Macaca mulatta: one gene and its partner. The protein of the gene in region 1 interacts with the protein of each later gene in a biochemical or structural test. Links are inferred from orthologs where the notes say so. Each region holds a gene or a part of one and is shown in the gene's direction. Other genes may lie near its edges.

What was found. The genes of interacting proteins can lie anywhere in the genome.
Region 2: the proteins of GSK3B (region 1) and MUC1 form a complex in vitro, tested with the Homo sapiens proteins (2 studies listed by BioGRID). The link is inferred for Macaca mulatta from reciprocal best matches to the Homo sapiens genes GSK3B and MUC1.

What each region holds. Positions count from the first base shown.
Region 1 is NC_133407.1:163,632,777-163,637,413, forward strand, and holds the start of GSK3B (glycogen synthase kinase-3 beta), read left to right. Parts: upstream 1-1,310; 5' UTR 1,311-2,324; coding exon 2,325-2,412; intron 2,413-4,637. UniProt on the Homo sapiens protein: Constitutively active protein kinase that acts as a negative regulator in the hormonal control of glucose homeostasis, Wnt signaling and regulation of transcription factors and microtubules, by phosphorylating and inactivating glycogen synthase (GYS1 or GYS2), EIF2B, CTNNB1/beta-catenin, APC, AXIN1, DPYSL2/CRMP2, JUN, NFATC1/NFATC, MAPT/TAU and MACF1.
Region 2 is NC_133406.1:111,806,188-111,811,026, forward strand, and holds the start of MUC1 (mucin-1), read left to right. Parts: upstream 1-1,872; 5' UTR 1,873-1,929; coding exon 1,930-1,987; intron 1,988-2,436; coding exon 2,437-3,905; intron 3,906-4,004; coding exon 4,005-4,060; intron 4,061-4,208; coding exon 4,209-4,345; intron 4,346-4,490; coding exon 4,491-4,612; intron 4,613-4,700; coding exon 4,701-4,839. UniProt on the Homo sapiens protein: The alpha subunit has cell adhesive properties. Can act both as an adhesion and an anti-adhesion protein. May provide a protective layer on epithelial cells against bacterial and enzyme attack.

The sequences.
Region 1 (4,637 bases):
GCTTTCGGGGCCCGTTTTGCGCTGGGCAGTTGCGCCCAAGGAGCGCGCGCATCCAGCATGAGCTCATTTCTCATGGGCGTTTCCAGAGGCCCGGCCGGGCCGCGCACACCAAGCGCAGCGGGCCTCTCTATCAATGGCCCCCGAGGCTGGGCGGGGCGCGGCCGCCCAAAGAAGCTTTGTTCCCATTTTAGCGTCTGAGAGCTTGCTGCCGGCTGGGAAGGCCCCCTTTGTCCGTCAGGCCCTTTCGGGGAAGAGGCCGACACCCGGCACACGCGATCCAGGGCAGAGGGGAGCCTTAGGCGCGCAGAATTGGCTGCGCCCCGCCGAGAGCCTCCTGTGGATGGGGAGAACCCCTCGACCCCTCTGCTCGCTTGAGCTCTTAGAACCCAGCGCCGCCGACCGCAGCACTTTCCGATTTGCTGCGCCTAGGGCAGGCGGTCCCTATGTGCGGTTTCCACCGTAGTTGGAGGCCGCAGGCGAGCCGTCGGGTCGTCAGCCACGACCCTAGTCGGGCATCTCCCAGGTCCTGGGACGGAGGCCGAAGGCCAATCACACTGCAGCTAAGTCTTGCGATTGGACGGCAGTGAGAGCCGATTGGCCACCGCCGCGAGTTTCGAGCTCCACCCTCTCCCTTTTGCCCCAACTCCAGCGCCTAAGCTTCCGGCCAATGAGACGGCGCTTTATAGACGCCCTCCCTTCGCTTTCTTCTCCCCACCTTGGAGAGGGAGGGGAAGTCCTGACTGGCCAAACTGTCCTCGGAAGCCCCCTTCCCTTCACCAATCACCGAGGGAGGTACGCTCCCAGCGGAGTTTTCCAGCCAATTACAAAGCGGCGGCGGCGCCCAACCGTGCAGTTTCACCAGCGTCTCTGGGTTTCACCGTCTTCAACTCTTCAAGCTTTTTCGTGAGGGCCGGCGACTCTGATTGGCCACTGTTGCCATTGTCGAATGTCTCCTCCAGCCAGCCACCGAACAAGGCGAAATCACCCTTTCCGTTCGGCTGCCTTCGGCATTTTCCGCTCTTTGGGCGTGGCTTTCCAGCGTCACTTTCTAATTGGTTTCTCAGGCCGATCGGCTTTTTCCGGGAGGAGCCGCAAACAAACGACGTCCGTGATTGGCTCCGTTCGGGCTTCGGCTCCCAGCCGAAGCGGGCGAGAGTGGGGCTCGGGCGGCGATTCCCAGACGCCTGTTACGCGGGCGGCGGTGCGCTGGGCGGTGTAAGGCTGGGTGGGGGAGGAAGGAGGTGGAGGAAGAGTAGGAAGGGGGAGGGGGAGTGGGGAAGTGCAAGGCGGCTGCGCAGACAGCGCTCCTCACACAGAGCAGCCCCTGACCCGGGCGAATGCGGGCTTGTGCCGCCGCTGCCGCCGCCGCCCGGGCCGAGTGACAAAGGAAGGAAGGAAGGAAGCGAGGAGGAGCCGGCCCCGCAGCCGCTGACAGGGTTCTGGGCTGGGGGCAAAGCGCGGACACTTCCTGAGCGGGCACCGAACAGAGGCGAGGGGCGGGAGGGCGGCCGAGCTGTTGCCGCGGACGGGGGAGGGGGCCCCGAGGGACGGAAGCGGTTGCCGGGTTCCCATGTCCCCGGCGTATGGGGAGCAGTCGAGGAGCCGCTGCCTGGGGTCTGAAGGGAGCTGCCTCCGCCACCGCCGCCGCCATGGCCGCTGGATCCAGCCGCCGCCTGCAGCTGCTCCTGGCGCAATGAGGAGAGGAGCCGCCGCCACCGCCCGCCTCTGACTGACTCGCGACTCCGCCGCCCTCCAGTTCGCCGGGCCCCCGCCGTCAGCCCGCCGGATCCCACGGCTGCCGGAGCTGCAGCGTTTCCCGTCGCATCTCCGAGCCACCCCCTCCCTCCCTCTCCCTCCCTCCTACCCATCCCCCTTTCTCTTCAAGCGTGAGACTCGTGATCCTTCCGCCGCTTCCCTTCTTCATTGACTCGGAAAAAAAATCCCCGAGGAAAATATAATATTCGAAGTACTCATTTTCAATCAAGTATTTGCCCCTGTTTCACGTGATACATATTTTTTTAGGATTTGCCCCTTCTTTTCTCTCCTCCCAGGAAAGGGAGGGGAAGGAATTGTATTTTTTCCCCAGCCGTAAATCATCTATATGTTAAATATCCGTGCCGATCTGTCTTGAAGGAGAAATACATCGCTTGTTTTGTTTTTTATAGTATACAAAAGGAGTGAAAAACCAAGAGGACGAAGTCTTTTTCTTTTTCTTCTGTGGGAGAACTTAATGCTGCATTTATCATTAACCTAACACCCCAACATAAAGACAAAAGGAAGAAAAGGAGGAAGGAAGGAAAAGGTGATTCGCGAAGAGAGTGATCATGTCAGGGCGGCCCAGAACCACCTCCTTTGCGGAGAGCTGCAAGCCGGTGCAGCAGCCTTCAGCTTTTGGCAGCATGAAAGTTAGCAGTGAGTATTGATTTTATTTTACGCCCCTTTTCCACTTCGCCCTTAAAATAAGAAATCTCGGAATACCAGGATCTGAAAATATTAGACTTCCTAATATAACAAACAAGCAATGGAAAAGGGCAAAACCTATCTTCAGTCAAGGATGAAGCAGCTCCCTCTTTACTCCTCCCATACCCCCTCCCCCGGTCTCATTAACCTTGAATTGAGATAATATGATTTTTATTTGGATGATTCGATTTGAAACTGCTTTCTTATACTTTTCTTGCTGTTGGTAGTGAGTTTCATCAAGTGCTTGAGTGTTTCCACGTTAGTGATGACCGTGTTTACTTGCCCATCCTTTAGAATAAAGAGAAGGACAAGATTTGATTAATAAACCATTGTGCACATTTGCAGAATGTATGTCTTTTGGAATAAGAGGGTATTTTAGGTCTCAGGATTTATCATAGTTTGGTATACTTAATAGAGACATTAAACGTCCCACCCTCCCAACATTTTTTTCTTGTCTGTATGACTACACATAGTATTTGTTCTTAATCTGTGGATGAACTTGCTCAGTAACCATTCACATTTGGAGGCTGTCATTGATTTCTCTCTTTAGAAGGGACTAGTGGGAGCCAATAAATACCCAGCAGCAGTAGCATCTCTGTATGCATTTGTGTTCGATTGGATTAGTGGTTTGATGTGTTCTCTCTTAACCTTCCTGTTTTGACATTACCAACCTGCCACCGTATAATTTATATTTAATCAAAAGGTAACATAGAAGTATTAATAGGTCCAGGTTTTGATTGAGATTTGTTTTGTCATAGTGCCAAATAGTAAGTTAAATGTTGTCACTGGCTCATTACATTTAAGTTCAATTTTGGAGTACTGTTGCGCTCCTGTTAAATGTTCTGGAGGGTTCCTTAAAAAGGACGATTTAAAATACTCTTGCGTTAGTTTCCATCACATTTAGATAACTGTGGATTTAGTTAGAAGAATGTGGCTTTAGTCCTTTCCATTTTGGCTTTTGCAGATGGCTGTGGTCCTGGAAATAATAGGGATATTTGGACTGTGTTCAGGGTTGTAGATAGACTACTCTTGTCCTGGGTTTGTGCTGAGAAGTATGCTTTTGAAGTGTTTAGTATATACTAAGTATCTAATGTTCCAGTGTATCTCTATTTATGGAGAAGTTCATGTGGTGTTTAATGACAGCTTGTTTAAACATACTTTCAGAATTTAACAAAAATATCTATGTTGTTTCCTTATTGTGGGAAAGAGGGTCATCATGAGGGCAAAGAAATTACTGTGTTGCTTAGAAGAACGGAGAGAACTAAAGAACTGAGATTTTAAGAACTGACACACACAAAAAACATGTATGTTATGTGAAATTGATTATATTCTTAGGCAACATAAAATGATCACTTTTAGTTGAACTCAAGATTTCATTTCGTGTTGGCTTTGGGAACTAGCCTGAAACAGGGTAGTCTAGGTAATAGCTGAATGGGAGATTATTTTTCAAAGTTAATTTTTTTTTCCCCCGGTGGTTTGCAAGTAGAGAATGCCGGGGTAGGAAAAGAGGACAGCTGATTATGCATCTTTCAGGGAAGGGTCGTGCTTTCTAAGCGCTTCATGGAGTCATTTGAAAAATATTTTAAAATTCCGGGGTAATTTTCAGCTATGATGATACAAATCTTATAATAACTACTTAAGAGCCTCTGTTGGTACTGGAGTGTTTGTATGTTTTACATCTTGGTAATATAGTTTGAAAACCAGTCAATCAATTTCAGCTAATTGATTTATTAGCTTTATTTCAGAGATCTATAATGCTAGATTATAATGCTACATTTTGGGACTTTTCATTTTCTTTCCAGGATTTTCTTTGAAATGACTTTTGAATTTTTGATAATGCAGATACTAAGGATGGAGTAACTCTTGTAAAATATATAGATGAAAATGTTTATTTTCTGATTACCGTATAGGTCAATTTAGAATTTAAAAAGTTGGAGTTTAGTGTTAATTATGTGTTTTTGACAGCTTTGACTTTAAAAACATTTAAAAGAAAGGGGAGTCTTTAAGCATTTGTTAGGATGCTAGCATTCTAAGGAACCCCTGTTGAAAACAGAAACATAAGAAATTGTAGTCCTTGCTCTCAAAAGCTTATTTGGTTGTAGAGGGAGGCTATGGGAAAAAAATTAAAACAATAGCATGATGACTGCTAGATTGTAAAATACAAATTGAATCATTTG
Region 2 (4,839 bases), on another chromosome or scaffold:
CAGCGCCCGCCCCGGGGTCTCGCAGCTCACAAAGCTGCGCCTCGGGTACCGAGCGGCGCGCGGGCGGGAACGGTGGTCTCTCGTCTGCTGATCCGATGCTCTCCAATCCCGTGCCTCGCCGAAGTGTTTTTAAAGTGCTTTCCAACCTGTGTCTTTGGAGCTGAGAACTGTTTTCCGAATACAGGCGGAACTGCTTCCGTTGGCCTAGAGCGCAGCCTGCGACTGCGGGACCCAAGTTCCACGTGCTGCCGCGGCCCGGGATAGCTTCCTCCCCTGGTGCACTGCTGCCGCACACACCTCTCGGCTCTTGCGCATTACGCACCTTACGTGTGCTTTTGCCTTCCACTACGTACCTACCTGTCCCCAATACCACTCTGCTCCCCAAAGGATAGTTCTGTCCCTAAATCCCATTCTGTCACCCCAACTACTCTCTGCGCCCCCCCCCTTTTTGAGACGGAGTCTTGCTCTGTCGCCCAGGCTGGAGTGCAGTGGTGCGATCTCGGCTCAGAGCAACCTCTGCCTCCTGAGTTCAGGCGATTCTCCTGCCTCAGCCTCCTGAGTAGCTGGGATTACAGCGCCCGCCACCACGCTCAGCTAATTTTTGTATTTTTTAGTAGAGACGGGGTTTCTACTAAAAACTTGGCCAGGCTGGTCTTAGAACTCCTGACCTCGTGATCCACCCGCCTCGCCCTTTCAAAGTGCTGGGATTACGGGCGTGAGCCACCGCGCCCGGCCCGATCTGCCTCTTAAGTACATAACGGCCCACACAGAACGTGTCCAACTCCCCTGCCCACGTTCCAATGTCCTCTCCCACATATCTCAGTGCCCTTTCCACATACCTCAGGACCCCACCCGCTTAGCTCCATTTCCTCCAGACGCCACCACCACGCGTCCAGGAGTGCCCCCTCCTAAAGCTCCCAGAAGTCCACCATGCTGTGCGTTCCTCCCTCCCTGGCCACGGTAGTGACCCTTCTCTCCCGGGCCCTACCTCCCTCTCGCGGGCTCTCGCTGCCCCACTTAGGCAGCGCTGCCCTTACTCCTCTCCGCCAGGTCAGAAAAGCTCCTCAGCCGGCGCGGTCCAGCCCCGCAAGGCTCCTGGTGACCACTAGAGGGCGGGAGGAGCTCCTGGCCAGTGGTGGACAGTGGCAAGAAAGGACCCTAGGGTTCATCGGAGCCCAGGTTTCCTCCCTTAAGTGGAAATTTCTTCCCGCACTCCCTTCTCAGGAGAATGCCAAGGAGGGAACCCAGGCTGCTGGAAAGTCCGGCTGGGGCGGGGACTGTGGGTTTCAGGGTAGAACTGCGTTTGGAACGGGACAGGGAGCGGTTAGAAGGGTGGGGCTATTCCGGGAAGTGGTGGGGGGAGGGAGCCCAAAACTAGCACCTAGTCCACTCATTATCCAGCCCTCTTATTTCTTGGCCCCGCTCTGCTTCAATGGACCCAAGGAGGGCAGGGAAGTGGAGTGGGAGACCTAGGGGTGGGCTTCCTGGCCTTGCTGTACAGAACCTCAACCTAGCCGTCTTTGTTCCCCATTCCCACCTTAGTTGTTGCCCTAGGGCTAAAACTAGAGCCCAGGGGCCCCAGGTTCCAGACTGCCCCTCCCCACTCCACCCTGGAGCCAGGGAGTGGTTGGTGAAAGGGGGAGGCCAGCTGGAGAACAAATGGGTAGTCAGGGGGTTGAGCGATTAGAGCCCTTGTAGCCTACCCAGGAATGGTAGGGGAGGAGGAGGAACAGGTAGAAGGTAGGGAAGGGGGAGGGGGCGGGGTTTTGTCACCTGTCACCTGCTCCAGCTGTGCCTAGGGCGGGCGGGCAGGGGGGAGGGGGGCCAGGGGGACTGGTATAAAGCAGCAGGCGCCTGTGCCCGCTCCACCTCTCAAGCAGCGCCTGCCTGAGTCTGTTCTGCCCTCTCCCCACCCAGTCCACCACCACCATGACACCAGGCACCCAGTCTCCTTTCTTCCTGCTCCTGATCCTCACAGTGCTTACAGGTGAGGGGCACAAGGTGGGGAGTGGGCTGCCCTGCTTAGGTGGTCTTCGTGGTCTTTCTGTGCCAGGTTTTGCTCCCTGGCAGATGCACCATGAAAGGCAAGAATTCTGTCTGTGCCAGAAGGAGGGAGAGGCTAAGGACAGGCTGAGAAGAGATGCCCCCCCCAAAGAGTGGGTGCCAGGGGCAAGCAAATGTCCTGAAGAGAAGTCTAGGGGGAAGGGAGTAGGGAGAGGGAAGGCTTAAGAGGGGAGAAATGCAGGGGCCAGGAGCTGAGGCCTGTGGGCAGACAGAAGGAGGCTGCTGCAGGGAAGGAGGCAGCCAACCCAGGGGCTGCTGAGGCTGCCCACTCCCCAGTCCTCCTGGTATTATTTCTCTGGTGGCCAGAGCTTGTATTTTCTTCTTGCTCTTATTTTTCCTTCAACCCAACCCTATTAGTTTAACTTATCACAGCTGCCACAGCCCCTGAACCCACAACAGTTGTTACAGGTTCTGGTCATACAAACTCTACCCCAGGCGGAGAAAAGGAGACTTCGGCTACCCAAAGAAGTTCAATGCCCATCTCTACTAAGAATGCTGTGAGTATGACCAGCAGACTCTCCAGCCACAGCCCCGTTTCAGGCTCCTCCACCACTCAGGGACAGGACGTCACCCTAGCCCTGGCCACGGAACCAGCCACAGGTTTGGCTACCACCTTGGGACACAATGTCACCTCGGCCCCGGACACCAGTGCAGCCCCGGGCTCCACCGGCCCCCCAGCCCGCGTAGTCACCTCGGCCCCGGACACCAGTGCAGCCCCGGGCTCCACCGGCCCCCCAGCCCGCGTAGTCACCTCGGCCCCGGACACCAGTGCAGCCCCGGGCTCCACCGGCCCCCCAGCCCGCGTAGTCACCTCGGCCCCGGACACCAGTGCAGCCCCGGGCTCCACCGGCCCCCCAGCCCGCGTAGTCACCTCGGCCCCGGACACCAGTGCAGCCCCGGGCTCCACCGGCCCCCCAGCCCGCGTAGTCACCTCGGCCCCGGACACCAGTGCAGCCCCGGGCTCCACCGGCCCCCCAGCCCGCGTTGTCACCTCGGCCCCGGACACCAGTGCAGCCCCGGGCTCCACCGGCCCCCCAGCCCGCGTTGTCACCTCGGCCCCGGACACCAGTGCAGCCCCGGGCTCCACCGGCCCCCCAGCCCGCGTTGTCACCTCGGCCCCGGACACCAGTGCAGCCCCGGGCTCCACCGGCCCCCCAGCCCGCGTTGTCACCTCGGCCCCGGACACCAGTGCAGCCCCGGGCTCCACCGGCCCCCCAGCCCGCGTTGTCACCTCGGCCCCGGACACCAGTGCAGCCCCGGGCTCCACCGGCCCCCCAGCCCGCGTTGTCACCTCGGCCCCGGACACCAGTGCAGCCCCGGGCTCCACCGGCCCCCCAGCCCGCGTTGTCACCTCGGCCCCGGACACCAGTGCAGCCCCGGGCTCCACCGGCCCCCCAGCCCGCGTTGTCACCTCGGCCCCGGGCACTAGTGCAGCCCCGGGCTCCACCGCACCCCCGGGCTCCACCGCACCCCCAGCCCACGATGTCACCTCGGCCTCAGACTCTGCATCAGGCTCAGCTTCCACTCTGGTGCACAGCACCACCTCTGCCAGGGCTACCACCACCCCAGCCAGCAAGAGCACTCCATTCTCAATTCCCAGCCACCACTCTGATACTCCTACCACCCTTGCCAGCCACAGCACCAAGACTGATGCCAGTAGCACTCACCATAGCACAGTACCTCCTTTCACCTCCTCCAATCACAGCACTTCTCCCCAGTTGTCTCTTGGGGTCTCTTTCTTTTTCTTGTCTTTTCACATTTCAAACCTTCAGTTTAATTCCTCTCTGGAAGATCCCAGCACCAACTACTACCAACAGCTGCAGAGAGACATTTCTGAATTGGTGAGTATCAGCCTTTCCTTTCCCATGTTCCCCTGAAGCAGCCATCAGAACTGTCCACACCCTTTGCATCAAGCCTGAGTCCTTTCCCTCTCACCCCAGTTTTTGCAGATTTATAAACAAGGGGATTTTCTGGGCCTCTCCAATATTATGTTCAGGTATAGTTCTGGGTGTGGACTCAGTGTGGTGGTTGGAGGGTGGGTGTTGGTCATGACCGTAAGGAGGGACTGGTGCTCTCAAGGTTGGGGGAGAGTCCTGAGCCAGAGCTGGGACCTGTGGCTGAAGTGCCCATTTCCCTGTGACCAGGCCAGGATCTGTGGTGGTACAATCGACTCTGGTCTTCCGAGAAGGTACCACCAATGTCCACGATGTGGAGACACAGTTCAATCAACGTAAAACGGAAGCAGCCTCTCGATATAACCTGACGATCTCAGACATCAGCGGTGAGGCTACTTCCCCGGCTGCAGCCCAGCACCATGCTGGGGCCCCTCTCCTACCAGTGTCTAGTTCCCCACTTTTTCCTTAGTGCTGGCAGTTAGAGGGGCACCTCCTCTGGGAGACTGCCCTAACCACTGCTTTTCCTTTTAGTGCGTGATGTGCCATTTCCTTTCTCTGCCCAAACCGGGGCTGGGGTGCCAGGCTGGGGCATTGCGCTCCTGGTGCTGGTCTGTGTTCTGGTTGTGCTGGCCATCGTCTATTTCATTGCCTTGGTGAGTGCAGTCCCTGGCCCTGATCAGTGCCCACCCCCCCGCCGACAGAAAGCACTCCATGGTCTGCCATAACCTCCTATTTCCCCAGGCTGTCTGTCAGTGCCGCCAAAAGAACTACAGGCAGCTGGACATCTTTCCCGCCCGGGATGCCTACCATCCTATGAGCGAGTACCCCACCTACCACACCCATGGGCGCTATGTGCCCGCTGGTGGTACCAATCGTAGCC